Linked DNA regions of Arabidopsis thaliana. The protein of the gene in region 3 interacts with the protein of the main gene of each other region in a pairwise test. Each region holds a gene or a part of one and is shown on either strand. Other genes may lie near its edges.

Region 1 (8,374 bases), about 12 Mb from region 3:
GACATCTGCCACTGTTCTGCTTCTTCTTCACTTTCTCTCTCTCTCTCTCTCTCAACTACTTTTGTCTTCTCTCTCTCTTCCTCTCTCCCCCACACATATGTTATCTATTTTGGGGGCAGTGAAATTAACTTCTTCTTTCTTTTGGCTCCAACCCTTTTCTTCTTTCTTGATCTATATATTTTTCACCATTTATTACACTTTTTCACATCTTAGATTCTTTTTTCATCAAAACGGAATCTTTTTCATTCTAGGTGATTCATAGAATGAGAAAACCTGAGAAATAGGTCTATAGTTTCTATATATAACACCTAGCTAGCTATATTAAGGTTTGAATAAGAATTGAAGGCTTATTAATGTTATAGTACTATATATCACCCGAAATAATGATGGTTCATGAAAATTTCGGAGATGCTTCTGTCACAAATCTGTATATGGAGATGTGGCCAAATAAAGACCACAGTGGAATTTTTTTTTTTTTTATCCTATCGGATTGATAGTAAAATTTGTAGGTTTTAAAAAAAAAAAAAATCAACGTTTCACTTTGCAAACTGTGATCTTTTAATACTACAATAATTTTGTGTATGTTCTTGGTATGGAATTAAAGATTGATTCTCAGTTGGTTGGTACGAAAATATTAAATAGTTCCTGAAAAATTTGTTTGCACTTTGTTGAAATTGAATGAAAAATTAAAAAGATTCTTCCACTGTTTTCAAAATTTGTCCTCATTTCCTCATTTTTTTTTTGTAATTATGCTTCAGAGGATAAGTTCAGTACTTCAATAATTGGTACCCAATTTGTCATATAAGATTTTAGTAGTACGAAGTTATTCTGAGAGGAGGCAGTACCACCATTTTTATTGAATATTAGTGAATATCAAATAATATTTATAACTCAATGTAATAATATAAATCCCTTTGTGCATTACCAATGTAAACTATGGTATTCAGAAACATATATAAACATTATGATGTACAGTGGGTATTATGGATCGCAGCTGGGCATTCTATTTTTATCTAACTTATAAATGTGGTGCCAAATTATGCCCAAAAAATGAGGATGTGGTACTAATAAATTAATTATTGCACTGACAAAATTTATGAACTATAGCATTAAATCATTGTATTAAATCTCTCCTGGCACCACTAATAAAGATATCTAAAGAAAAAGAAGGGGAATATATTATATTTAATAATTGGAAATTAACAACACATCAAATTCATAAGGTATCTCTTGATTAATTTTTATTTTATTTTACAATGAATTAATTTTTATTTTATTTTACAACGAATTCGTTAATTTTCAGTATGAAATCATAATACATCACAATAATTTGTTAATGCATATGCTGATATGCATATGAAAAGGTTCTAAACAACAGGAGAAAGTGTTATATTTGATTTATTGTTTGTTTATATTTGTAACAACTTTCATTGTTTTTCAGTGTATGATTTTTGTCGACAAAAAAAAAAGTGTATGATCTTATACAATGTACATTCTCAAATTTCACTATGATAGAATGAAATGGAAAAAAAATATCTATAGTGAAGTTTACATAACATATTTTATCGTCAACTTTAAAACTTTATTTTTTATATAATAAGAATAATAAACTAGAAACCATACCCATCGAAATGCAGAATTATATGGATAAAATAATTTATGATGAGAATAAAAATAAAATGTAGGAATAATTTATGAGATGATGCAATACAATGGTCCTTGGGACTTGATATCTCTCACTCACTCTCTCTCTCATCTCTGAACAAAACAGCACTCTATAGTCTATAGGGAATCCAAAACATTCATTCAGACCTGTCTGAATCTTTGAGACACAAGTTTTTGTTTCCCACAGGGTTGCCACTTTTTTCCAAATTACCATATTACTCTCTTTCCTTTTTTTATCACCCATTTTTTTCTATTTATTAGTAAGATTTTTTCCTTCAAATAATAATAAGTCTCTACAATTCAACAGTGAATTCTTCTCTCCATATTATCTTATTAACTTACAAAAACATTTCAAAAATTATTTTGAATTAATTCTCTGTCGCTCCAGCTATATGGTCCCAACATCTTTTGTCTCAGATTGGGTGTAATTAAATGTTTAGTTGTGAGCAAAAAAAAAATCATGTGATTATTTTTTTGCATTCATGTGAGTTTATTCAAGTATTTAGCATATGTAGTAGTTTATAAAAAAAAAACTCATAGATACTCCATATAAACGGCCAATCATAAGGGCATCGGAAAAAATAAGGAGATAAAAAAAAAGAAATTTTTAAGTACAAAAAAAGAAGAAAATGTTAAATTTCTCAAAGAAAGGCAAAACTTTCTCCTTCTATGGAAAAGAGATGGGAATAATTATGATGATTATAATTTTGTTTTGTTTTGTCTTAATTAATATTAATAAAGCACCGTGATGCGAATCAACGGCTCAGCCTCATCGCACTCACCGTCTATAGTACTCGCCACCACCGCCTTAATAATATCATTCTCTACAGTCTCAGCGCACGTTAGCGTCTGCGCCTTCTTAGCCTCCGATTCCCAATCTGTGGTCCCCACCACGTACATCATAAGACCTGCGCAGCTAATCTGCGCCGCAAGTAGTCCTACCCAAAGCCCATTAAACCCAATTCCGGCCCAAAACCCGAGACCCACTGCCACCGGCATGCCCACCAGATAAAACGCTCCAAGGTTCACGTTCGCCGCCGTTGACGGTCGTGCTGTTCCTCTCACGACGCCGCATCCCACCGTCTGAGGACAGTTTCCGATCTCGCATAGACCTAATATCGGTAACGCCGCCGCTGTTAGCTGGAGTATCTCTTTGTCTCCGGTGAAAATCCTTCCCCAAGCGTTTCTGACTGAGTAAGCAAACGCCGCCGCTATAATCCCTGTAACCGCCGCGAAAACGATAGCCACCGTAGCCGTTAGCTTTGCTGTCTTGGGACGGTTGGCTCCAAGTTCGTTTCCGACTCTAGTTGAGACAGCAAAGCTAAGAGAAGACGGGAAAACATAAAGAAACGACGTCGTCTGGATCAAAACGCCCATAGCAGCCACCGTCGATCTTGGATTCACGAGCAAACCACACAAAACGATCATGATCTCGTACCACCACCATTCCAAACACACGGAGACACAGCTTGGTCCCGCGAGACGCAGCAACGGAGCCCACCCGCGGAAACAATCACGGGTCGGGTCAGTCCATGTAGGCGCGTGAAGACCACTCGCCCAGACGTAGCAAACGAGGAAAGCAACGACGAAGATGTTTGTGATGGAGGAAGCGACTGCTACGCCGGTTAAACCAAGACGGAGGTAAGAGACTAAGAAAAGATTAGCCGGGAGGTGAAAAACAGCGCCGGAGAGAGAAGCTAGGGTTACGGGGTGAATGATGCCTTGAGCACGAAGGTAGATTCTGATTGGATGAAGAAGAGTGTTGGTGAGAAGATCAGGTAGGGAGAAGATGAGATATGTCTGAGCTAATTTCGCGATGTCGGGGTCTTGGTGAAGGTAAACCGATATTTTGCCGACGTTAAACCAGAGAACCGAGATCGGTACGCAACAAACCAAGAGAAAAACCACGGTTCGATGGAGGGTTAGGGAAAGGAGTTTGAAGCGGTGAGCACCGAAGGCTTGAGAACAGAGTGGTTCCATACCAAGAGCTAAACCGGATAAAACAGAGTAACCGGTTATGTTAGCAAAGGCAATGGCGAGTGAACCGGCGGCTAATTCGAGGTCACCAAGTTGACCCAAGAAAAACATTGATACGGCTGAGCGTAGGTAGAGGACAAGAGCCGTCACGGCGATCGGAAAAGCTAACGTGAAGAGAGATTTCGCCTCTGTTACAGCTTCTGCCATAAGAGGAGATCCTCTGTTCTCACAATGCCGGAGATTTCTCTTTGTGGGTTCAAAGCTATTGATCGAGAAGAGATCGAGGAAGAGTCCGGTTCGAGATTCTTGGTTCTCTGAACCGGTGGTTGTTGTTGTTGTTGATGGGTTACACATGACGGTGATGATGATGATGGTGTTGATGAAGAAGAAGAAAGATTTGATCTTTAATGGGAAAGAGAAAGAGTTCTCTCGTGAAGAGCTCTCTAATGAGTATGAGAGGTTTTAACAACTGAGAAAATTGAAAGGAAAGAGAGATATGAATTTTTTTTGGTGCTGCTTCTCTCTTCTCAGAGCTCTCTCTTACCATCTTAATAAAGGAGTTGGCAGGATTTTTTTTTTCTTCATTTTTAATTTTTCGAAATTTTTTCATGAAAAAGAATCTAAGCTACTTTTTTTTTGTATATTTAAAATACTTTTAGAAGTCACTTTATATGGATAAATACATTAATAGTAAATTGACAATGTATCAACTTTTTTGATACATGAATGATTTGTGACATAAGTTGGAAAAAAATCAACTAAAATCAAATACTTACCCAAATGTAATTTACTGGTGGACCATACACAAAGATGCTGTATCCGATACGTATTAGCAAACTATAAGAATATACGTATCAAATCCGAAATTTTAGAAAACCTACTAGCTAGGTCAAGGGAAAAAAATTAAGAATATATGACAAAACTTTTTAATCTTATGAAAAAAGTGGTTGAAAGATATGAGGTTAAATTTTATTTTTGGTCAATTAGACAAAACATTGTAGAGCATCCAATGGTTTGTACTAATATTGCTGTTGTATCACAATCTATATTCAAGATTTGTGAGTGTAGGTATATATGGCTTATTAACCCACATATATGTATAACAAGTTCTTAATATATTGCATAGATCTTGGTCAAATCCAAGCTAGTTAAGTTTAGTTCAATACTACTATACTAGTGTTTATGGTCTTGAATACTTTGTAAAATCAGTAAAGGATAAGCAAAAATAATCTAGGTATACTAAAATAAAATTATGAATTAAGATAGACAAGGCCAATATTACAGTACATCTTTTATCTAAAGACAGTTCAATGTAACGTCTAAATAATTTAAAGTAAGTAGATTTTGATTAGCATATATAGTACAAGTTCATTGCACGTGAACTCTCGAATCCTTTTTAAACGACCATTTGGCACAAAAAATGTGTTTGCATTTACTTAACTTTGAATTTCTTTTTAATTTGTCTTCTTCTTATTTTTAATGTGTTTGTTTAAAATTCACGAAAATGTCCTTGTAAAATTCTTTTTGTTTTAAACTATTTTGTGCTGAATTTCTTATACAAATAGAATTTTATCTCTGTTAAATACACTATTTTTGAAATAGTTATATAGTTAAATATAGTATTTGGTAAATTATATTGAATTTTAGAATAAATCAAACATATATTATTATTTTGCGAAAATATTAAAATGATATATTTTTTCGACCAAAGTAAAGTCCAAGGCCATAACCTACCACATGAAGTTATGAATCAAACCATGCTTAGCGTCGCTACCATTGTTTACTTACTAAACCAAAACCGAACGAAGAGTCGAACTAGATATCTTATCAAAACTTGAATGCAAATCGGTGATTTATAATTAAAGACCCAACACTAAAATTAATGTTTCGCTTGACTCTTTAATCAAAGCTTGAAAACTATGGTTTACAATTAATTTAGCCGTTATTTCATGTTTTGTCTCCATCCGGTGAACAAATTAGACTTAAACAGCAACTTAAGTCCCGGATACATCTTCGTAATGGTTTGCATATTAAGAAATGTTTGTAATTCACAATGGAGTTTAAATCTCCAGCTATTAATGGCTTTTCTTTGACTAAATAACCTTCCAACCAATATTAAATGAAAACATATAGCAAGTTTCTTATAGATGAATTAATTATAAATAATATATAGATTTGTAGTAATGTTGACGATTGCATAATGTTATTTTTTTTTATAAATACAGTTGGGGGTTGCTATTACATAAATTAATATGATAATTTATGAAGAGATAAATGGTAATTATATAAATATTAAACCGGGTTGTAAAAGTATATAAGCATAGACAGTACTATATATATCTACATATATACCTATCGTTTTGTAAACTATTTATACAATCATTTGTGGGTTATAATTTTTTTTTTTTTTGTTAAATGGGTTATAGAAATTTTCCGTCGATAAGATTTGAAACAAAGAGATAAAATAAGTAAGGCTCCTGTGAGCGTTCACGGCATAGAGGGGGCCTCGCCCTACTAAGCCTCTGATTTTTAAAATATTCTCCATTCTTTCATTTTGAAACGTTCCAATAATCATTTCGAAAATAATTCATATATCTTCACATATAGTTTTCCCTCTAATAAATGTTGTGCGTTTAAGATAAATTAATTTTACATTAAATACAAATCGTTTTAAAGATAATATGTCACTTGTATTATAATTAAACCATATAATTAGTAATCACATTGATAGAATTAGAAATATATAGTGTATTGGTGTGGTTTCGAAAAGGTACGATCACGCAGCAGTTAAACTTGACAATGCAATAGTACCAAAACGGCTATAAAATCTAGGATTACATCCGACTAAAACACATATATTTAAGAAAAATCTCAACAAATATAAAATATTTTGAATGAGAAGTTTGGTAACTTTCAACGAGGGGCCTATACGTAATGCATCATTATTGGCCATGCATTATCGTATATACTTTTTGGTAGGGGACAATTTATTTATATGAAAGAAGATAACATTCCACCAATTTCTTGATCAAGAATTAATGTTGAAAGTGTGACATAGTACAACTGGTTGTGTATATTGTTTCCCCATTTTTCATAATCATTATGATGCAGACAATAATCAATATCAATTAATATCGCAGCAGCAGCAACTGCAACAATAACAACAGCAACACCAATAATAATAAGCAAAATTCTAAAAATTGATAGAAACTTGTTTTAATCGGGTATGATGTGAAAGTAATAATACAATTTTTTGTCCGTGGAATGGACCCGATGATTTAACTGGATATTCATTTATACTTTATTCATTTAAAATAAAATTGTTTCGATCCAAAAAACATAGAAATGTGTATATATAAAGGGTAGATAATCAATGAAAAGTGGGGGGATAGAGAAATATTATCTTCAAAATATTTTGCATGGATATGAAAACGGTGACGTAGCGAGAGGATGGTCACGGAACAAACGCCAAAATAGACTTTCGATCGAGAAAGGGTTAAATTCACAGCTGGAATCTAAAATCTATTATTTTTCTTCTTTAAAAAACACAATATATAATATATACAAAAATAAATTAAATGAGAATGAAATACAGAAATTGACACAAAATATAGATCTATTTATGATTTACTTCTTTGAAGACAGGTCCCAAATAAGAGCAGTGGCTGAGAAAATACAGAAGTGAAACTATTTTGGCTTCCCTCCCAAGAACAGAAGGCTAAAAGGAGACATGTGCCCTCTCTCTCATGCAATTTTCTTTTACATTTATCCTTTCAAAATTTGTCTAGATTTTTCTTTCCAAATGATTTGTATATCCATAATTTCTTTTATATGTGTCATGAGATAAGACTGGCTGGCTTCTTAGACTATTGTGCTTAAATCTATGGACCGACTTCTCATAAATCAAACATTCATATCTTCAACAGCAGTGTTTTCGGATTTCCGTCTACTGTTTATTTTTTATTTTCATTTTGATTTGTCGTTTAGATCTTATTATTTTCTACTTTATATATATGTTAATAAAAAATTTGTTTTCTTTTGCTGGTTTGTTTTTTCTATAGACCAAAAGTCCATATATCTATGTATAAACAATTTTTTTTACGAATTGCGACTCGAACATATGAGCGAGCTATGGGTGATGGTGTAATCATAAATAAATAAATAAATTTTAGAAAATTATTTTCCTTTTATCCCAAACAAAGAAAATGTTTTGCTAAAAAGAATTATATATATATATATATATATATCTATGACTATACCAACACTGTTAGCTCGCTTGGTTAGCACAAATTTCTTTGTGGAATGTTGAATATTCATAAGTTCGAGTCTCCATTAAAGAAATATGATTTACATAGGAATGTATTAACCGCTATTCGCCTACTAGAGAATCAAAAGAGTATATGGATTGAGGTCCTATATACTTCTTGTCGATATATACATATAAGCAGACGCAACTAAAATAGTTATGTCAATAGAAGTTTTATTCATTGTTTTCAACTTTTAGGCTAAGTGACTTATTGATGATTTTAAAAGAGACTATTAGTAATAAATATCGAAACACATTAGTTAACACATAAAGTAAAAGAAAATGTATTGATCTTATACATTTTCTCTAGAAAAATGGATGAATTACTGTTTATAGTATCGCTAGCAAAACTGAAATCATTTTCATTGATGATTATTGTCCGTTTGCATCTCTTCTCTGAAACTCCTGAAATAATACAGAGAAACA
Region 2 (7,712 bases), on a different chromosome or scaffold from region 3:
GGCTCTTAGTAAAAGAACACGTGACATTGACAAAAATGACACGTGGCAAATTTATCTCACTTTCAAAACGTTGGCGTATACTAGTCGCTCTTCAGTCTTCGTCATTCGACGCCGTCGCCGCGTGGATTATTCTCCGGTGACAAAAACCACAGTTCCTGAAAACAGACACCACTTGATTCATACAGGTAAATACATAATCTTTTCTGATCAAGTAGATTTGTGTATTTGTTTATGTGCACAATAATATAATGTTCATCAACTGTTTGACGAAATGCCTCAATGAAGCGTTTTAGGATTAGATCAGTTGATTTTCGTCAGCTGGTTAATTTTTTTTCTTTTATGCGATGGGAATGTAGTTCTTCTGCTACGGTCTGGGTTAGATTCAACATGACGATCAGAATTATCAATCGTCAATCCAGATTCTGCTGTAAGAGTTTTCTGTCTGCGAGGCTGTATAGTTCAAGCGAACAAGTGAGAGATGTTGCGGATGTGGCGAAGAACATATCTAAAGTATTGATGTCTTCTCCGCAATTGGTGCTTGACTCGGCTTTAGATCAAAGTGGGTTAAGGGTTTCACAAGAAGTTGTAGAAGATGTTTTAAATAGATTCAGGAATGCTGGTTTGTTGACATACAGGTTCTTCCAATGGTCTGAGAAGCAACGGCATTACGAGCATAGTGTTCGTGCGTACCACATGATGATTGAGTCTACGGCGAAGATAAGGCAGTACAAGCTCATGTGGGATCTTATCAATGCAATGAGGAAGAAGAAGATGCTAAATGTAGAGACTTTTTGTATCGTGATGAGGAAGTATGCGAGGGCGCAGAAAGTGGATGAGGCGATTTACGCGTTTAATGTGATGGAGAAGTATGATTTGCCGCCGAATCTTGTGGCGTTCAACGGGTTGTTGAGTGCGTTGTGTAAATCCAAGAATGTGAGGAAAGCACAGGAAGTTTTCGAAAATATGAGGGATCGCTTTACGCCTGACTCCAAAACGTATAGCATATTGCTTGAGGGATGGGGGAAAGAACCCAACTTGCCCAAGGCAAGAGAGGTCTTCCGGGAAATGATTGATGCGGGTTGTCATCCGGATATAGTGACGTATAGTATAATGGTTGACATACTTTGTAAAGCTGGAAGAGTTGATGAAGCTCTTGGCATTGTGAGGAGCATGGATCCAAGCATTTGCAAGCCGACCACTTTTATCTATAGTGTGCTTGTACATACTTATGGAACTGAGAACCGGCTTGAAGAGGCGGTTGATACTTTCCTCGAGATGGAAAGAAGTGGAATGAAAGCCGATGTAGCAGTTTTCAATTCATTGATCGGTGCATTTTGCAAAGCAAATAGGATGAAGAATGTGTATAGGGTTTTGAAAGAAATGAAGAGTAAAGGTGTGACGCCTAACTCCAAGTCATGTAACATCATTCTACGCCATCTAATAGAACGAGGGGAGAAAGACGAAGCTTTTGATGTCTTTAGGAAGATGATTAAAGTGTGTGAACCAGATGCAGACACTTACACGATGGTGATCAAGATGTTTTGTGAAAAGAAAGAGATGGAGACAGCGGATAAAGTGTGGAAATACATGAGGAAGAAAGGGGTGTTCCCTAGTATGCATACATTCTCGGTTCTTATTAATGGGTTGTGCGAGGAGCGTACCACTCAGAAAGCTTGTGTTTTGTTAGAGGAGATGATCGAGATGGGGATTCGACCATCGGGTGTAACGTTTGGTAGATTAAGACAGCTGCTTATCAAAGAAGAGAGAGAAGATGTGCTCAAGTTCCTTAATGAGAAGATGAACGTTTTGGTCAATGAGCCGTTGTGTGATTGACTTTCTTAGATTTCCTGTGAACCACAGATTAGTACGCTAACAACAGCTGATCCTAAGCATTTGGCTCAGGCTCCATTTACCTTGGTAAAGTTGTAATTTAAATTGGAATCAGCAATTGTTGCGGTTTCGATACATGAGATATTAAAATATAGATGATACAAACCATTTGATGTGTCTGGTTGCGGATGATACGATGTCGAGGCCAAAAGACACAATTCAGTTTCTCCAAGAACATAAGACACAACTAAAATGATTATCTCTATGATTATAAGCTGCAAAGGAAACAGACCTAATACTCACATCAAGCATAAGATGTGGATTTTGAATTTAGGGTTTCTAAGTATCACAATTCATGATGTTGAAAGTGTTTTTGCATCTTCAAGTGCCAAACAAATCTAAGTCCAGAATAATAAGCCGTATCAATTCCATTATCAGGTTCAGTGTCTCTTAGACTTTGACTCGGTTTTGGATAGCATGTATCCAGAGATCTTGTTCACCTCGTACAATAGCCCAGCAGAGAACAGGAAACTGCAGGCAGATCAAGAAACAGCATCACAATCACCACACCGCTTTTAGCAAGAGAGGAATGAAGTAATTAAACAGGGTAAATGGATATACCAAGTAGAACTAGTGAATTTCCACTTACCAGGTTGTGATACAAACCCGATGAACCGTGCCAGCAGCGATAAGAGCTATGATTTCTGCAAGAATGACTGCCATGGAAACAAAAATTGGCTTCAATACATTGCAAACCCTTGTTGAGTAATGAGTATACCCACTTTCACACAGCAGAAGCAGGAGGGGGCAAACAAATTCGAGCCATTTATCACTGTGATTCTTATATAGGTGATACAGAAAAAGACATAAGAATGAAAAAAATTTGGTTCCAACAACTGATTCACTAAAAGAGTATTTGTAACACATAAAAGTAAGAGTTTTCGTAATATGTTATCAGAAAGTAAACTTAGAGCATCATCATCAAAGATTCAAAAATTCCACTCTTAAGCCCTCAAACTTCTGAAGTGGAAGACAAAATGGGGTAGAGTAGACACCCAATGGTTTTGATCGTATGAACAAATTTGATTTCATGAAGAAGCAAGGACATACCTGCACCCCAACCACTCTTGATGCCAGAAGATTCCTGAAAATTTCCAATGAACTGAAAGTAAAAGAAACCGCATCAACCAAACTGTCAACAACAAATGTAGATGAATTCGAGAAGAAAACAAAAGATCTCAAATTTAACGACACAGATCAACATTGGAGTTGTAAAGGTAGTGCATTTCCATGAAGACGAGATCAAGTTGAGGAATTCTAAGGAACTTACAGTGAGAGAAAACAAAAAGAGGAGAGAGCTTGTGAATCCACCAAGGATCGTGAACAGCTCTGAAGAAGCTAATTTTCCTCTGTAAATTTCCTGAAGCGAGAGGATCACTGTAAACACAATAAGAGACCCTAACATTGATGTTCCAACAGCTCCTGCCATGCTTCTAAATCCAAACTAAACAATCAAATTAAGACCGTAACAGATAATCAGACACGAATTCGTACAAAACTGATCGATTGATCCACTGGTCGGAAAACGAGAAATCAACAGATAGAAGAATGTGATGAGTTACCTTGAAAGCCCTAAAGATCAGATCTTCTCCTCACGCTCGTCACTGCCACAGTTCCACTTCGAAGACCGGCAAATCGGAAACAAAGGAGATCGAGAAGAGATTTTAAGAAATGGGAAAATTGGGAATTCGCATTGACCATAAAATACATGTTTATCGTATATATTACATATATACCCTGACGGACCAGTCGCGGTTTCAAACGCTGTCGTTTTATACAAACAACTGACGTAGTATTGTACATGCCACTTGAGTTTGGGTTTAATTAATAAACCAATGCAGAATACCAAACGTAGCATTGTACCGGGTTTGAGGTTTTGCTTGCATTCACTGATTCATAAACCCTAAACCCTACTGTTGCTTGAACTGGAAGTACAACTTACCGTCGAATCAACCGACGATGAGATTACTACTTCCAAATCTCCTTCTACTTCTTCCGGCTACCTTCTCCGTCGAAGGCCATTATCCACCGCCGCATCTCTGCTTACAAAGTTACAAGTACTATCTCAACAGCAGAGTCTAACCCCTCTAATCTTCCATGCCGATTACTCTCAATTGTCTCCGAACCAAATTGGCAGAACAATCCATCTCTAAAATCTCTTACCCCTTCTATACACCTTCTCATGTCTCTTCTCTGTTTTCACTCAATCTTGATCCTCAGACAGCTCTCAGTTTCTCGGATTGGATCTCTCGGATACCAAACTTCAAGCACAACGTTACTTCATACGCGTCTTTGGTTACTCTTCTCTGCAGCCAGGAAATACCTTATGAGGTGCCTAAGATCACGATCTTAATGATAAAGAGCTGCAATTCAGTGCGAGACGCTTTGTTTGTTGTTGATTTCTGTAGGACAATGCGTAAAGGTGATAGCTTCGAGATTAAATATAAACTTACTCCTAAATGCTACAATAATCTGTTGAGTTCATTAGCTAGATTTGGATTAGTCGAAGAAATGAAGAGACTTTATACTGAAATGTTGGAGGATTTGGTTTCTCCAGACATATACACGTTTAACACATTGGTTAATGGGTATTGTAAGCTTGGATATGTAGTAGAAGCAAAGCAGTATGTGACTTGGCTTATTCAAGCTGGATGTGATCCTGATTATTTCACATATACTTCTTTTATTACCGGACATTGTCGAAGAAAAGAAGTCGATGCGGCTTTTAAGGTTTTTAAGGAGATGACTCAGAACGGTTGCCATAGAAATGAGGTTTCTTACACTCAGCTTATATATGGTCTATTTGAAGCAAAGAAGATCGATGAAGCTTTGAGCTTATTGGTGAAAATGAAAGATGACAATTGTTGTCCTAATGTTCGAACATACACAGTGCTTATAGATGCTTTGTGTGGATCAGGACAGAAGTCAGAAGCTATGAATTTGTTTAAGCAGATGTCAGAGAGTGGCATTAAGCCTGATGATTGTATGTATACTGTGCTTATTCAGAGTTTTTGTAGTGGAGATACACTTGATGAAGCAAGTGGATTGCTAGAACATATGTTGGAGAATGGGTTGATGCCAAATGTTATTACATACAATGCATTGATCAAAGGTTTTTGTAAGAAGAATGTGCACAAAGCAATGGGACTGCTTAGTAAGATGCTAGAGCAGAATTTGGTTCCAGACTTGATAACTTATAATACATTGATCGCTGGACAGTGTAGCTCTGGTAATTTAGATAGTGCATATAGATTGCTTAGTTTGATGGAAGAAAGTGGATTGGTTCCAAACCAGCGTACAGTATGAGGAATATCGTTAAGTGAGAAGATTTGTAATGGTCTTCTTAGATGTTACTACAAGCTGCAAAAGTATGAGGAAGCTGCAAAAGTTGTGGAAGATATGATATGTAATGGTCATTCACCACAACTAGAGTTTTGCAAAATGTTGATTTGCAAGCTGTGTGAAGAAGGAGAAAAAGAGAGAGTCAACTCGGTTTTCGAAAAACTGCTTCGATGTGGATATTGCGATGATGAAATCGCTTGGAAAATCCTCATTGATGGTGTGCTTAAACAGGGCTTTGTAGAGGGGTTTTGTGAGTTGTTCCAAGTAATGGAAAAAAGTGGCTGCAAATTTAGCTCTCATACACGATCGATGCTTAGTAAAGGTCTTCAAGGGAAAGATTGATTACATTTTACCAACCACTTTAGTCACTCTGATTGGTTATACATTCTAAATTTGGTATTTGATGTTATGTCCTATGTATTTTTTTTTTTTGTTACAAAGATATAATTTTGTATGTCCTAGTGCCAAAATGAAACCATAGACAAATGTAATTGAAGTTTCTACTTTCTTTATCTGGTTTTATAAAATCAAAAAGTAAGTGACCAATTATATAATTGTAATTTGAAGTTGTGGAAACGTGAAGATGGGCGAAAGAAATGATTAAAAAGAGAGTTTTGACTTTTGATAATACAGTTAATTAGTTTGCAATAAATTGCATTTGAAGTTGGCTCCTACGCGTCGATGGAAAGCCAAGAATCGTAGACCATGACGTGTAATGTGGTTCTATGTACATTGATTCTGTGCCCATCAAATTGCATACATCATACGTTTCGATATGTAGACTATTTTATTTTATTTAAACCATCATATACTAGATGTTAGAAATGTATCTCATATTGTTCGAGTCAAAAATAGTCACTTTTCAAACTAGCAGAACTAATTGCATTTGGACTAAAATTAATCTCGGAATGTGTATTAGTAACATAGCCAATGGGTATTCAAAAGTTTTTTTATGTTAAAGTTTTTCCTTCCATGAAAGAATATTATATTTTGTGTGTTTTTGTGCAAAAGAGAGTAAAAATCATAAGAAATAATTGTATAATTGAAGTCGGGAAATGAAGAACGAAGATCCCCAAAAAATGTCGGTAACGGTTAAAGAGATAAGAGAAAGATTAGAGACGTAATAATAAGTTTAATAAGGTCAAATTAGTTGGTCCAAAATTTATGGAAACGAAACCGACCACGTCTCACTATTTACTTTGCGGAGTAAGCACACTTAGCGAATGTGTTCTCATTTTCTCACGAAGTAAATATACAAATTAAATGATGAAATATATTAGTATGAATTAATATAACACAGAGTCAATAAGCAAACCAAGAAGATAATGTTTTTTTAGTTATTAGTATTCAAACTTTATATAAGTAGTAGTCCACTAGATTTGAGGATTTATAGCACTGTCGACATTAGTTCTTACAAGCTTTAATTAGTATTTTATTTTTCTTTTCACCAAATCAAGCTCATATAATATAGAGGAAAATGTTCATACATTGAACTTGACTAGTTGGTATTTACGCTGATTATTAAAAGTGATCATTTTTTAATTTTTTTTGCTATGAATGTTAATAAATAAAAACTTAAAAGTGATCATTTCCTTATGGGGTTCTGTTTTTTTTTCACAAATTTGAAACTTTATAATTTCAACCCAAGAAAAAACAAATGAACAATTCTTATCGTATTTTCGGTATGTAATTTACTATATTTTTTCAACATATTTAAAACACATTTCGATTGACTGATTGATAGAAATTTGTTTTTGGTGCGCAAACAATATGAGGCCACTACTTCATTAACCTTATAATTAAGGTAAGCTTTTAGTCCATAGATTCGATTGCTGTAACATAAAAGAGACAAAGATCACTAAGCACCATGTGATTCACACTCAATTGTCCTTCAAGACTAATTAATCCAACATATATCTATCTCTTTTCTTAACTTTTTTCATTTATATATCAGTTTGTTTGTAGAAAGAAAACTAAACGAGTAAATTATATTGTTGTCAGTATTATTTCTCGTTGATCTTTACTAAAACAGTGGCTCGGGGGAATGCATTTGGATAATAAATGATTTTGCTTTCTTCTTTTTGATAAAAAAATGGATCGATGATTAACATTTAAACAAACTATAACGCCACTTCCAAGTGTAGTCCCATGTGATCATGGACGGCTTTGTCTTTTTTTTTCAATTAAAAAAAAATTAATTTTTTTATAGATTAATTAGGAAAGAAAGGTTCTTAAAAAAATGAGTTTATGCTTATTTGAATTGTTTGGTTCACATATACGTTACTATTTTAGGGTTTATAATGCTGCAATAGCTAGAAAAACAAACAGCAAACAATTATCATAACTAGCTACTAGCAAAATCAAATAATTAAGATATAATTCTAACTCTACGACAAGCTTTGATCATTTACGTTTTGATAAAAATGAAGCAAAAATATATAATATATACACCGACATATGGTCAAATGGAATAAATCAAT
Region 3 (7,537 bases):
CGTGCTTGCTTATCGCCGGATGCGGAGGAGGATTTATACTGAAATCAATAGTGAGTATCAAGAATTTTGAGTAAACATTTGGAAAGTTATGGAGTGTTGTTTTGAATGAAAAAAGCTTCAAAATATGTGCAGAGAATTCTGATTCTGATGGTCAAGCTACGTTAAGATTTGATCTTGGCATGATCTTAATTGCAACCAATGAGTTCTCCCTTGAAAATAAGCTTGGACAAGGTGGGTTTGGATCTGTCTACAAGGTAAGAAATTTCATCAAACCTTGTAAAGTGTTATCAAAATCTTTAGATTTTGGTCAGTGATCTTATACCGGTCTCAGGGGATATTACCGAGCGGGCAAGAGATAGCGGTAAAGAGATTAGCTGGAGGCTCAGGACAAGGAGAACTAGAGTTTAAGAATGAAGTCTTACTCTTGACAAGACTCCAACATAGGAATCTAGTTAAGCTTCTTGGATTCTGTAATGAAGGAAATGAAGAGATTCTTGTCTACGAGCATGTCCCTAATTCAAGTCTTGATCACTTTATCTTTGGTAAGCCTTTACATGACCAATGTACACAAAACTTGTTAATCAGACTAAAGAGTTCTTTCAAAATATGTAGACGAAGACAAACGTTGGCTTCTTACATGGGATGTGAGGTACAGAATCATAGAAGGAGTTGCAAGAGGACTTCTTTATCTCCATGAAGATTCTCAGTTGAGGATTATTCACAGAGATTTGAAGGCAAGCAATATCCTTTTAGACGCGGAGATGAACCCTAAAGTTGCAGACTTTGGGATGGCGAGGTTGTTTAACATGGATGAGACTCGAGGAGAGACAAGCAGAGTAGTTGGAACCTAGTAAGTCTGCTCTATTTCACACATAAATGCTCTGCTTTAGACATGGATACTAATGTGATTTTTGTTCATGCAGCGGATATATGGCTCCGGAGTACGTGAGACATGGACAATTCTCAGCTAAATCTGATGTTTATAGCTTCGGTGTTATGCTTTTGGAGATGATAAGTGGTGAAAAAAATAAGAACTTTGAAACAGAAGGACTTCCTGCTTTTGTAAGCTTCTTGAATCTTGATCACATTTTATTTATCTTCTCACTTTTAGGCTTTGATTGGTAACACGCATAATGGCATAATGACGTTTTCTAATGCGGTTAAGCAGGAAATTTGTCAATCAAGAAAATTTGCATAATTGTATTAGAAAACGCAAAAACCCAAGATTTGCATTTTTGCATAAAATTACAAGTAAATAATTCATAATGCAAAAAAGTGGGTATATATTTACTTATTTTGCACAATAATTTGTTATTATTTTAAACATACTAAAGAAAAAAATATAATTGTTTACACGAAATTTATATCACTTGACTTATAAAGAATGTTTTCTTTTGATATAAGGCATGGAAGAGATGGATAGAAGGAGAGCTTGAGAGTATAATCGATCCTTACTTAAACGAGAATCCAAGAAACGAGATCATAAAGTTGATTCAGATTGGTTTGTTGTGTGTTCAAGAGAATGCAGCAAAGAGACCAACCATGAACTCTGTAATAACTTGGCTTGCAAGAGACGGTACTTTTACAATACCTAAACCTACAGAAGCTGCTTTCGTCACTCTGCCTCTCTCGGTGAAACCTGAAAATAGGTCCATGAGTGAGCGTAAAGACAAAGATCCGTTTTCAGTGGATGAGGTCTCGATTACAGTCTTGTATCCTCGGTGAATATTCCATTATTTTCTGACCTCATCTGCATTGGTGCTAGAGAAACTAGAGTACGATACAAGAAACATGTAACTTGGGGTGGGTATTCGGATAATTCGGTTTATTTTGGTTACTTTATGGACACATTGTCACCGAATTATACCCGAATTTAGTTGAGTAAATAATTATTTTAAATTCTTTAAATTTCATCTTTAGTATAAATTCTTTTTGAGAATACATATTAAAAGGAAAAGCCTAAAAACCGCGGTTTATTTTTTATTTGGCCGTTTAATACCTGTAATTTTAAAATTGGAATAAAAATAGCTAAATTATTTTTTGTTGTCTTTTAAATCCATGGTCTTTTAAATTTTGGTAATTTCGAATTTGCGACTTAACATCTGTTATTGGGCGTTACGGAAATCGTTAACGGCGTTAACAAAATTAAGTGAAATTAGAAAAGCAAAAAAAAGTGGTCTAAAAAACCACGATTTATATTTTACCGTTAACCGGTAACGACTTCCGTAGAACCCAATAACAGATGTTAAGTCGCAGGTTCGAAATTACCAAAATTTAAAAGATTATGGATAGAGTAAGATACAAAAAATATGTAATTTGGGGTGGATATTCGGATAATTAGGTTTATTTTGGTTACTTTGGTATGGAAACATTGTCACCGAATTATACCCGAATTTAGTTGAGTAAATAATTATTTTAAATTCTTTAATTTCATCTTTAGTAAACTTTCTTTAGTGAAATATAAACTCTTTTTGAGGATATGTTATATTAAAAAATATTTGGTTTAATAAATTAAATTAAAAATTCGATTGAGTCCGTTTTTTTAGTGAACTTTCTTTACCCTAATCGGTTTAATTTTAGATTGGGTCAAATTCGTTGAATAATTTCATTTCTGTTTTGAATCGGTCGTATCATTTCGGTTCATTAAAATGCTCAAGATCAGGACAAAGATTCATGTTTCATTCAAACTCTAGTTTAAAATTTCGATCAAAAGACAAATTTCTTTGTAAAAGTAAATCAAATTTGCTAATATAATATGTCGGTAACAAAGAATGAATGAACAAATTCATCTATACAAAAAAAAGAAAAGAATGAAGAATGTTCTCTCTAAGAAAAACTAGAAAAGCTTGCTAGCGAATTCTTTGGCCTTAACCTGAGAGAGATTCGATCTTTTCGCGAGATCTCTCAGTTCTGATAAGCTTCTCCCTAGCTTCACCGCAACTCTTGTCTCAAACACTTGTCCGTTCTCTCTCTTCTCCGTCGATTTCATAGTTTCTTCTAATAGAGAGAAGAATCCAGCTGAGTTTCTATACATCTCAAACACCATTCCCACTTGACCACCATGCTCTAAAGTGTTGACAACCGCAGCCAAAGAAGCACAAGTCATCGCCACGATTCCAGCTAAACCGGAATCTTGACCGATAAAGACAGAGCTTACAGCAGAAACTCCGGTTAAAACTGGTCCAGAGATAGCCAAGAACCGGTTTAGCTTCAACGCCACGTGACCTAATTTCTCATACTCTTCTGCGTCTCTGCTCTTCACCACATGAGCAACTTCTCTCATCTCCGCCTCAAGCTCTTGACTCCATCCATTCGCAAGACTAGTTTTAGGGTTTTTCTCCTTGTTTTCAGGCCACCAAGTCGCCGGTTTAAACTCTTCCGGAAACTTCTCGAGCATTGTTCCGATCAGAGGAAGAGGATAAGCTTTATCTAGAGACAACACTCTCTTTATCACTTCCTTAACATCTTCTTCTTCGATCTCCTCGTTTTCTCTCAGAAACATTTCGATTTCGACTCTCAGCTTCTTGAACAGCCTCGTCGCGTTCCTCTGTTCTTCAGCTAGCTGCGAAGGTTGAATCTTGCTCATCAAGGCAGCAAAACCCGTCGCAGATGTTAACAACACCGTTGAAGCTATCTTCACAGCGGTTACAGAATCTACACCGTGACCGTTAACCGAGGCTATTCCGGCCATCAAAGCGGCAGTGAGAGTAATCATGTTGACAGAATTGAGCAGTAAAGAGTTCCAATTGTTACGTTGATCTCCGATGTTCTTGTGCATCTCAATCCTATCCATAACTTCTTCAAGAACCGCATTGAGACGAGTTCTTTGGATAGAATCAGAACCTCTCTTTTGTTTCAACGAAAGAGGAAGACTTTCTACAAACTCAAAGCTCGGTTCTTTAACCGATAAAGTCGGTATTTTCGGAACCGAGACGTGAAATTTCGGTAGCTTCGGGATTGAAACTGCTGCTTTAGGTCTTGTACTAGAAGAAGATGACGAAAGAACTAATCTTGATACCTGCAATGAAGCCATTATTGATAGGTTTTTTGGTTATGTTGGTTTCTTAATATCTCTCAGGAGATTTGTGATTGTGTTTGATGAATGAAGAGAGAAATGTTATGTGTGGTGTTATATATAGGTTTAAGATGATAGGCATAAAACAAAACAAGAAAATTTAAGGAATTGAATTGACCAAAGAGAGAATTATTGACCAAAGACCAATTAGGCTTTGATAGATTCTCCTGTGACGGTTTTTGGTCTAACCGTAAAGCTAGCCTCCCAATTTTACCCGCCATCCTCGTAGAACGAGTCTTAATTACATCTAAACCGGCTCGGTTTATATTGGTTTGATTAAACCGGTTCGGTTTTGTTTTGTAGGTAGGAATTTGGTCAAATTGCTTAAGACACAAATGACAAAACACTAGAGAGAGTATCGAAGAGAAGAATCCAAAAAAATGGGATCTTCACCACCGAAGAAGACGACTCTGCAACGGTACTTGTCACAGCTTCAACAACATCCTTTAAGAACAAAGGTTGAAACTTTTCTTCTCCTATTGTTGATTTGAAGCGATTGATGTAGTTTTCTGGGGTGGTTTCGTTTTCTTGAGATTAGGTTTAGTTTCATTGATTGAGAGACGATGACGTTGTTTTTCGATTGAAAGTTTTGTTTTTTAACCTAACCCAATTTCATAATCTGATTATCTGAGAGTATCGTTGACTCTGTTTTACAAGTAGTTGGAATTCATGTGATTTGTAGGCAATAACTGCTGGAGTTTTGTCTGGTGTTAGCGATGTTGTATCACAGAAGCTCTCTGGCATACAGAAGATTCAGCTGAGAAGGGTTCTTCTCAAAGTGGTAAAGCTTGAATCTTTCTCTTGTAGAGTCCTAAGTTCAAGCCAGTCCTAGCTTCTTTGATATGTTTTACCATTTGAGTTCTGTGTTGATTTCTCCAACAGATATTTGCTGGTGGGTTTCTTGGACCAGCAGGGCATTTCTTTCATACATATTTAGATAAGTTTTTTAAAGGGAAGAAGGATACACAGACTGTTGCAAAGAAGGTAACAATGTTCGATACCTTTCGATGATTTGTATGTTCGAGATTGATCCGGGGGTTTTCTTAAACAGTGTGTTTGAGTGGTAGGTAATTCTGGAGCAATTGACATTGTCACCATTGAACCATTTGCTTTTCATGATCTATTATGGAGTAGTCATAGAAAGTAAGTTCCTCCCTTTTTCACACTCCATTTGTAAAACACGAACCGTCGTGGATGGTATTAAGAGTTCTGCAATGTTGAGTGAAACAGGAACTCCCTGGACCCTTGTTAGAGAAAGGATCAAGAAGACTTATCCAACGGTCCAGCTTACTGCATGGACGGTAAGTGATAGATATCATCAATATAGTTCATGCTCTTTTAAGAGAATTTGAATCATAACAAGAATTGCTGGATGATTGATTCTATATATCAATCACAGTTTTTCCCGGTGGTGGGATGGATTAACTACAAGTATGTGCCACTGCACTTCCGGGTCATCTTGCACAGCCTGGTCGCATTCTTTTGGTAAGACAATGAATCATTTGCTGCAGCTAGTTCTTGTTGTTGTTACTCAACTGAAACTTGTTTGTAATCTCCACATTCTTCTTCTTTTGTTTTTTCAGGGGAATTTTCCTAACCCTGCGAGCGAGGTCAATGACACTAGCTTTGGCAAAGGCTAAGTGATTAGGAAACACATGGATCGTGACAGAGAACTCAAGCCTTGGGACTCATTATGATCACTTAGTACTCTGTAAGTTAAAGCAAATCAAACAGCTCTGAAACCAAATAAAAATCTGTATTAAGATGATACCATTCTAGGATAGCAATATGTTTTAAGTTATTACAAACACATTCACAAACATCATATAAAAAACGAGGGTATTAAAGAAGAGATATTGTTTAAGCAGCTTTGGCGAATCCAACTCTTCCTTTCCCATAATCGAACACTGTGTGGTATGGTCCCATGAAGATATCACCCAAGATCCTGCATTTTCACACGATGTACAAAATTTTGAGCAAAACCCATTTGAGTTTGTTGGTTAGTAGATTGTATTTGTAGATGATAGTTACCAGAGAGGTCCACGAGGCGGAGCAATATCCATTGCCGTGAAACCGCTGGTGCACTGAGACTCAACTCCTTCCCCGATCTTGAATATATACTGATCGACCAAAAGAAGAAGAAGGAAAAGGTTTTAATTACTCTCCTTGTAAGCTGAAAACTTAAGGAAAAGCTGATGAGAGTAGTTACGTCTTGAGGAGTTAGATCAAAGCTTCTGCCACCAATTGAGAATGTGACTATAGGCATCGACGAAACCCTCCCACAGTCCACTGCTGATTGTTGGTTTTGGGTTGGTATATGGTCACATAGCTATACATGTTTTACAGAGATTAGAGTCTTAACATGCTTATGTCCAAAATAAGGCTTTCAAGACACTCTCGAAACTCACCTCAGCAGCATAAGCGAGTATGCGTTCTTGTGTTTGATTCTGAGTCAATTCGCTCTCCATCCACACGGCTGCCATTTCGCAAGCACTGCACATCGCTTGGTTTAAAAGACCCGATGTTCCATCGTCTACAACTGACTGGATCCCCATACTGCAGACAGACATGAATCAGTTTTATGTTTGACATATTTGTTTTGACTGGATAGTGTCAGTACTGACCTCACACTCTGTGTACCATCATAAGCGCAGACTCCAATTTGTGAGCATACTTTCTTCGGATCCTCCTGCAAGTCAAGTGATGTAAAATTCAAGATTGTATTGCTTATAAAAATGTGAATGGTGTCATGACCAGTGATTTAAACCTGAGCTAGAAGAGAATTCAACATGGTTTTTCCGTATTGATCCACCACGGCCTTGCATTCACGGCTTACAATTCCTTGTGCTCCTATCGCGTGATTGATCATCGTGATGACAGTCTAAACAAGCAAATATAAATATTCAGCATGTTTCAGGTGCTAAGTAGTGTACAATCTACAAAAGTTTCAGTGAAATGATTCTCACCGATGGACCGGTGAGCAGAGAAGTTCCGGAATCAGCAATAGCAGAACAACCTTTAGCACAATATCCTGAATAACATAGAAGTCAGATGTCATATCATAGGTAAAAGGACTCATTTATGTTGAAACTGAAACATCTCAAAAGCTTACTTACCGGTTGGTTTGCCAGCAATTTGGAGATCACCCATGTCAAACTGCCAGTAACCTTTATGTGTCACAGGAACAAAAGTATGCTCTCCTTTGAAGTGCTTCGGGTCGACTCCACCGAAAACAATCTCACCGCCTTCTGGATCTTTCGGGTTACGGTTAAGCCAGAACGAAAAAATCGGTTCCTTAACTAAACCTTTTTCTACCATGTTATACCTACACACATCATATAAATTTCATCATTCAGAATTGCAACAACAATTCTTTCATCAGATTATAGATCAAAAACGTTTTCATACCAAACCGGAGTTGAGTTTCCTACAGAAATCTCTTTGAAACCCAAACCGAGGATA
Region 4 (7,630 bases), on a different chromosome or scaffold from region 3:
CCATATCAATTCCTCATTTCATCTTTATTCTTACTCTTCTCTTTAATCTTCTAATTAACAATTTTTGAACTTTTCATGTTTTGGTACATAACCAACGAAAAAAGAAACAAGTGACGTACAAAACACAAGAAGAAAATGAAATTATCTTAATTGATTCTGACCTAAAGAATTTAACATTTTCTCTTTCAAATCTTTTGTAGCAAGGGAGGTGAAACGAAAACGAATCATTAAGATACGTGCAATGAATCCAATAACCTCTATGACTAGCAGATGCATGAATTTTATTTTTGTGTTTCTGTTATGCATCTTTTTAGTTGCTTTTTAAGTCTGGTCATATCTTCGCTCAGACTTCACTGATGCAAAGCTGGATACAAAATCGACAAAAGTATATGTCCCCATATATTCCTATCTTTATACTGAAGAAAATATATACTTTAGCTTTATCTATCGCACTACTTTAGTCTTTAGAGTTGATTTATCAATTAGTTCCTAAATCAACTAATGCACATGATTTAATGTAATTAATTGTCTCTTAATTGTACGGATTAGGTGATGAAGATCCACCGTCCACCATGGCTGTAGTACCTAATTAATACCGTGTAAACTTTAAACCACGGGTATTACTTATGATTGTTATTAGAAAATAACATTAGCTTACCTCAAAAAAAATGAGGAATTTGTTTTTGATTTCTAGCAAAAAAAAAATGAAACCAAAAATGATTAGACGACTCTTTTGTTTGTAGACACAATAAATAATATAGAATTTTTGTAAGAAATTAATAGTTTAGAACAATATGCGTGTATTCAAAAAGAATATAATTAAGAATATTTGAAATGATTAAATACCAATATTATTATATTAGTTTATATTTTTAAATCAAATTACTCAATTACAAAAATAATACATTAGAAAATGATTAATTATATTTTTCTAAAGTGTTATAAAGACACCATTTCCTAACGGTATTGATTTTAGATAATAGAAAACAATAATTTGTGAGGAGAAAGTATTTAAAAGAAAACAGAAAAAGAAAATGTATAACGTAGAAGAAAGGTGGCTTTAGATTGGAGAGTTGTACGAGGAATATTAATAAGTCAAGTTGGTCGAGATATGCATTGAATCGATGGGAACGAGCCACGTGACAACGACATGTGCCGTTTCATCCACATTACATACCTTTTGAAATTATTGCTTATTTAATTCTTCTATCAACATTTTTTTTGCTTATACTTATTTTCTTCAATATATCTCATACCACTAACAATTAATAAAGGCTAATCTTAATAGAGAAATAGAATCATTCGTTTTAATAAACTCAAGTATATGTGATGAAACTGTGGGCATATCATATAAACTTGTTATTGAGCATAATAATTCATCTTATTATGTCCTACTATGCATTATGCAATGTATATAATATGAATTTTTTGTTGAATATTGTTGCAGGTCCACTATGTTCCACTAGACATGCAATCTAAGGGAGGGTTTGCGATGTTCAAGGCAATCATGCATGGGTTGCCATTTCTATATAGCTTTCCCTTTCTACAATTTTTTTCTTTCTAATTTTCTAAAAATTAAATATACACACACTATGGATGATGGATTAACCAATAGAATCCAAGGAATTACGAGTAAAAAAAACACCCTCCTATAGTTCACCTATATCTTATATCTTTCTTGGTTTTGGCTACGAATTGAAATCTTTTTCTGATTTGGATAAGAGATTGCGCTCTCTGTATACGTTCTTATATATATCACTATAATCAAATATGGGTTTTCTATAAATCTGTAAGGCATTATAAACATATGTATCAATATATTCTTAACTGACATTTAGATTGGTATAAGCAATGTTATTTACCTACATATTATCTATTTGTTTACATAGGAACTGGTGGCATCGATCCTAACCATAAGATCATGAATACAAAAAATCAAAGATATCGAATCAAGTACATATCCACAAGATAATTTGAATATCTTTTAAGATCGGGAAGATATCACTATGGTGTATATGCTATTTATATAACTGATCAGTTATATATAGTTGTTAAACTTTGTTCTAACAATTTAAAAGTCTGCATCATCTTTTTATTGACGTTAATTAAGTTTTGTTTTTGTTTAAAGCGGGAGGTGAAGTTTTGTTGTAATTATGTCTACTTGAGCCATTATAATTGTAGAATAGTAATGTCATTTCCATTGGGAGTTTAGCTAGTAGTTGACGAATAAAACCATTTCTCCTTTGTAAAAAAAAGTAGAAAAGACGTAATCAATAGATGTTATACATGCGATTCATTGAATTTGGATAAATAAGTATTTTGGATTGAAAAAAAAATAAAAAATGAGTAGTGGATTTTGGTAAGCTGTCAATTGGTTAATACCAGAACGGCTGAAACTAAACTGCTTGCGAAAATTATCATGTCCCTCTTAATTAAACACCCAACGAAAAGTACTTATGAATATATCCATTAGATATTTTAATTATTACATTTTTAGGCTGTTAAACAAATAAATTATATCGGTTTACCTGAAAGATAATGAATGAAAAAAAAAAAATCTTAATATATTATTTTATGTGTTTTTAAAAATAATAAGCTGTCTTGTATTTTTAACAAATAGCATTTTTAATATAGTACGATATTTAATACTATATCACTTTTTTGTTTAAATCATACTAAACAACACCTAGCCCTTTTTAAAATAAATAATAATAATAATAATAAGACCACTTATGTATCCTTTATGTATCATGTAAAATACAAAATTCCCTAATTATATAAATTTAAGTTGGCATTTCTTCTGACTATTAAAAGCATAAAACGAAAGAGAAATAAATATTGGACCAACTGTCCCACTAAAAACGATAATATGATATAGCCACCACATGAAATGCCGAGAGGAATAACAATATGGGTCATCATCGGTCGATAACACATAGACAACATTATTATTAGGTTGGAAAATTTAATTAATTCACACACATATACATATACATATTATACAGTTCTATGACAAAAAAAAAGTGATAAATGTTGAATATATTTGTCAAACTAATTTGGTAATTCACCGAATTCAATCTATTGATTATTGCTATCACTTCTCATATTCAATTTTTTGTGCGCGAGGAATTCGAATCTTTAATTAGTACGTTTCCCCGTCCATAGTTTCAATAGATTACAACTCTAAATGATTATATAAAACAAACAAAACATTATCATATAGAACAAAGATTATTTGTGATAACCTAAAATATTTATCTTATCTTTAATTATTTGTTTCTAGTATTATTAATGACTGATACTGCTTTATTTATTTCAACCAAACAACTTTGACTATAGTCTACAATAATACACGATCAACGTTATAAAAGTTTGGATTCGTTTTAATTAAAAACCACCATTGAATATTCCAAAAGAAACTGAAACCTCCATCTCAAACAGAGGCTTACCCCAAATAAATTCCATCCCACGTCATCATCAGAGAAAGTGTCTAGGGGAGAAGAACCACTGTGATTGTGGAAAGAGAGAGAGAAGTGTAAAGTAATCAAATAGAGAGATTTCAATTTTGTTCAGACCTTCCAGAATAAGCAGCAACTTGCCTCTCACACTTGTCACCCCCAAAAGAGAAAAAAAACATTAAAATTAAAATCTTATCATTTTAGAAAAATCTGTAAATTCAGTGAACCTTCCTCTGTTTCCTGTTTCTTCTCTGATTCCACAGTCTTAACCCCAAAAACATTATATTTATTTCTCTCATTATCTTTTACCATCTATTTTTATACCAATTCCTTTTATCAAAACCACTCCCACTTTATTTCTTCTTCTCTGGTTTTCTTACCAAAAGAAACTTTCTTCGTCTTCCTCTGTATTTAAGCTTTAACACCCTGTTTTTGGTTTCCAACGTTCAATCTTCATCTTCTTCTCGCTGAAGGTGTGTTTGGCTCTAACGGTTTAAAGGTACTTACTTTCGATTCTTTTGATTCATTCTCTGCTCATGTTTTTGATTGAATCACAACGATTTACTGATCAAAACTTGGACAAATTTTCTCTTGCAGCTTTCTTGAAACACCAATTGAATCTTTTCTCTCTACCGGCAAAAAAAAAAGATTAGTCCTTTTAGGTCTGGAAACGCCAAGATCACTCGTTCTAAACCTTAGATTTTGTCTGCATTTCGGGATAATCATTTCATCGTCAGGGTTCTTCAACCAAACTACATTTACAGAAGAAGAAGAAGAAGAAAAGTTCGTTACTTTTTATGCGTTTGGATAAACAAACTCAAGTTTCTTCTTCATACATCGATCTGATTTTCCAGATCAAACTTCGAAAAGAGAAAAAGCCTTCTTTAAATGATTCGTGAGTTCTCCAGTCTACAAAACGACATCATAAACATTCAAGAACATTATTCTCTCAACAACAACATGGACGTGAGAGGAGATCATAACCGGAAAAACACGAGTTTTCGTGGTTCAGCTCCAGCTCCGATTATGGGGAAGCAAGAATTGTTTCGGACATTGTCGTCGCAGAACAGTCCAAGGAGGCTAATATCAGCGAGTTACTTCAGTTTAGAATCAATGGTTGTGCTTGTTGGTCTCACAGCATCTCTCTTGATCTTACCGTTGATTCTTCCACCATTGCCTCCTCCTCCTTTTATGCTGCTTTTGATTCCTATTGGGATTATGGTTTTGCTTATGGTTCTTGCTTTCATGCCTTCTTCTAATTCCAAACATGTTTCTTCTTCTTCCACTTTTATGTAATAAACGTTTCTTTAATTGAAGAAAGAAATCCTTAAACAAAGGGAGGTTTTGTCTATTGTCATTACATAAGGTTTCAGGGTAAGAGATTAATATTTCATTTGTAAAACTTGTTTTCTTGATGCAGAATTATACAACTATTTATATAAATAAAGAATGATTAATAGTTTCATGATTTCATTTTTCTCATGGTCTGAAGCAAAACCAGGATGAGAGATTGGTACAAAATGTAAGAAATTGAAAGGCTTTCATTACAGGAGAGGAGACCAATAAGAGTCTGAGACAGAAGAAGTGAAATAATATGTAGATGAAATAATATAAAAGGCTTTGATTATCTCTCCCATGGTTTAGGATGCATAAAAGACAGATAGAGAGACTTTTGACAAAGACATTCTCATAGCAAGTTTGTACAAGTCTACAAGAACCCTTTTTCATCATCTCACAACCTGGATCAGAATCCATAACTATAGTGGAATGGTTGTTTTTCAGTTCTTATTTTATCAACTATTTAAAACGAGTTGTGTTAACTCAGATGCTGAATCCATTGTTGCTCAGTGTAAAGAAGCTTTGACCAAAAAAAGAGGAAGGTGATGCTCCAAGATGGTCATGAGCTGATGATGACCTTTCTTTACTTCTTCTGTGTCTACATCGAAGCCTTCAAGCTGTGTTGCAGCTTCCACGAGCTGTCCTCTTAGCTTTTGTGAGAGCAGCCGGCCACCCGCATCCACACACTCTCTGTACAGTGGCATGTAGGCGATTGCCACTCTCAATGGTGCTGGGAGATCCTTTAGACTTATTGCAGACTCTCCGAGTTTCAAAACTCTCATGAAATTCATGTAATTTTCCCGGCTTTCCTTCAATCCTTGGTTGAATGCAGCTTCTGACCACTGTTCTTGGAGAAACGATTTGAGGTCGGAAGGAACAGACTCGTCTTCTGACTTTGCAATGGTGTCTGCAACTGAATATGTGGCTGCTGGATCCCCGAGGAAATCTGATTTAAGGAGAAACTCTACTCCGTGGAGGGAACCACCACTTCTTTCACCGGCTGCTTTGAGGATTTCAATGCTGAGAGCAGTAAGGACGGGTCTTGGAACATGAGGAAGGAGATAAGCAGCAACCTCAACCTGGCTGCTTGAAGTGGCGGCTGTGAGAGCTAAGCATAGCTCCATTTCACGACAGCCTCGTTTCACAAACCATTGAACAACTTGCATGCAACCTCTCTCCGCTGCTCTCATCAAGGGACCCAAGAAAGCAATTGCATGACCTTCTTCTACAAGGCAATCCATCGTTTCGATTTTACTATAATGCGAGGCAAAACCAAGGGCTAAGTCAACATCCACGTCTAAGCTATTCCTTTGAGCAATCTGCACCAGGAAAAAGTTCAGTTAGATTGCACAAAGTAACTTGCAAGCAGTCATTAAGAATTAGATTTACCTGCAACAAGATGCGCACAAGTTCTGTGCTCCCAAAACGAGAAGCTTCAAGGAAGCACTGATTTACATTATCTGCGCCTCCTTCCACCAGCATACCGAGCAATCCATGTATGACAGTAGCTGAAATTCCAGAAGCCCAGCCAGGATTAAACGAGGTAGAGAACAGCGTAAGCGGGAAGCAAGCTGCATCAAAGGCTTCTGTGAAATCCTTTCCTGATAGATGGTTTCCTGCAAGATCTAAGAACATCTTGAAAGCAGAAAGCTGGAGTTGGATCTCAGCAGCTGAGTCTTGGTTAGCTTTATCTCTAGGGCCCTGGCATCGGGAGTGAAAACCTATACATTTGAGTGCCCATTCAGTAAACTTTTGAACTTTAGCACCAGCTTCTGCTTTGAGGACCTCATCACCGTTACACTCTTGGAGACGCTCGTGCAACCTGGAAACGCCGAGATGGGAAAAAATGGATTTATATAGAAAGGGTATCTCACCCTTCCCAGCTAACCAAAGATAAACCAGGAGGAATAAGAACATAAGAGATACTATAGATTTAACAAAAAGCGATTTCTAAGAAAAGTTAACAACACTAAAACACTTGCAGATGTAACCAACCAATGTAACATGTAAGACACAATGTAGTGATCATATAAAGCAAAAACAAGGTATCATAACAGAAACCAACTTCTCCAATAATCCAAAAGTGTTTTACCATAATTATACTGAGAAAAAGGGGAAACATCTTATAAGAGAAAGTATCAAATGTGTACCTTTGAGCCATAACAGTTACAGTATCAGCAAGACTCACAGTCCGGCTATGGCAAGATGAAACACAAGAAGCAAGAAAGGAAGTCCTAAGTGTAGCTCTAGTATAGTCCTGAGCACCATGACATATGATCTTAGCAATCAATTCAGTGATTCCCCGTAACTCATGCTCTGTGCTCAAGAACCAAATAGAATCTAAACTAATACACAACAGATCATTCAAAGTTTGTGGATCAGCCAGCTGAATAAATCTCTCTGAAAGTTGCCAATCCTGTGAGCTAACAGCACCTTGGAAAAGCCGTCCCAATTCGATTCTATCCTGTCTATTAAGCTTCTTCTGTTGCTCAAGACCCCTGCATTTCAGTATCTTTGCAGTAGATCCAGAGCATTTGGTCGGTTGAGTGATGATACCTACAAGAGGTGACTCTCTTGCAAAAACAACATCACTCTCTTGAGGTTCCAAGTCAGAACCTACAGGCTCATCAGGATACATGTCATCGTTCTCCATCCACTCAGATTTCCAAAATCAATAATCCAAAAACTTGTTTTGACATTCGAAAAACCTTTGCAATAACAATACTGTATACCAACAAATCCCTTCCTCCTTGTACAAGCAAATGTCTTGTACCAAAATCAAAATCCAGACTTGCGCAATCAACCACTCCAAGAAATCAAACCCAGGAAGAAAA

What was found.
Region 1: the proteins of AT4G04480 (region 3) and ADS1 interact in a protein complementation assay, tested with the Arabidopsis thaliana proteins (one large-scale study listed by BioGRID).
Region 2: the proteins of AT4G04480 (region 3) and AT1G77350 interact in a protein complementation assay, tested with the Arabidopsis thaliana proteins (one large-scale study listed by BioGRID).
Region 4: the proteins of AT4G04480 (region 3) and ARL interact in a protein complementation assay, tested with the Arabidopsis thaliana proteins (one large-scale study listed by BioGRID).

What each region holds. Positions count from the first base shown.
Region 1 is NC_003075.7:14,364,770-14,373,143, reverse strand, and holds ADS1 (MATE efflux family protein), read right to left. Parts: upstream 4,268-8,374; 5' UTR 3,997-4,267; coding exon 2,398-3,996; 3' UTR 1,949-2,397; downstream 1-1,948.
Region 2 is NC_003070.9:29,066,104-29,073,815, reverse strand, and holds AT1G77350 (keratinocyte-associated-like protein), read right to left. Parts: upstream 3,592-7,712; 5' UTR 3,453-3,591; intron 3,335-3,452; 5' UTR 3,320-3,334; coding exon 3,161-3,319; intron 2,993-3,160; coding exon 2,941-2,992; intron 2,547-2,940; coding exon 2,480-2,546; intron 2,362-2,479; coding exon 2,271-2,361; 3' UTR 1,917-2,270; downstream 1-1,916. Other genes in the region: APPR6 (Tetratricopeptide repeat (TPR)-like superfamily protein), read left to right, coding at 280-1,833; AT1G77340 (Pentatricopeptide repeat (PPR) superfamily protein), read left to right, coding at 3,988-5,196.
Region 3 is NC_003075.7:2,226,145-2,233,681, reverse strand, and holds AT4G04480 (F-box protein with a domain protein), read right to left. Parts: upstream 4,034-7,537; coding exon 2,837-4,033; 3' UTR 2,831-2,836; downstream 1-2,830. Other genes in the region: CRK36 (cysteine-rich RLK (RECEPTOR-like protein kinase) 36), read left to right, coding at 1-50, 133-254, 332-542, 613-850, 924-1,062, 1,405-1,725; PMP22 (Peroxisomal membrane 22 kDa (Mpv17/PMP22) family protein), read left to right, coding at 4,456-4,533, 4,758-4,856, 4,958-5,059, 5,143-5,218, 5,306-5,376, 5,475-5,560, 5,659-5,719; AT4G04460 (Saposin-like aspartyl protease family protein), read right to left, coding at 5,936-6,020, 6,107-6,195, 6,285-6,404, 6,484-6,631, 6,700-6,764, 6,843-6,956, 7,042-7,106, 7,192-7,400 and 1 more.
Region 4 is NC_003071.7:18,233,380-18,241,009, forward strand, and holds ARL (ARGOS-like protein), read left to right. Parts: upstream 1-3,409; 5' UTR 3,410-3,957; intron 3,958-4,055; 5' UTR 4,056-4,346; coding exon 4,347-4,754; 3' UTR 4,755-4,794; downstream 4,795-7,630. Other genes in the region: AT2G44090 (Ankyrin repeat family protein), read right to left, coding at 5,303-6,115, 6,186-6,618, 6,947-7,449. UniProt on the Arabidopsis thaliana protein: Promotes cell expansion-dependent organ growth, probably via a brassinosteroids signaling pathway. Acts downstream of BRI1.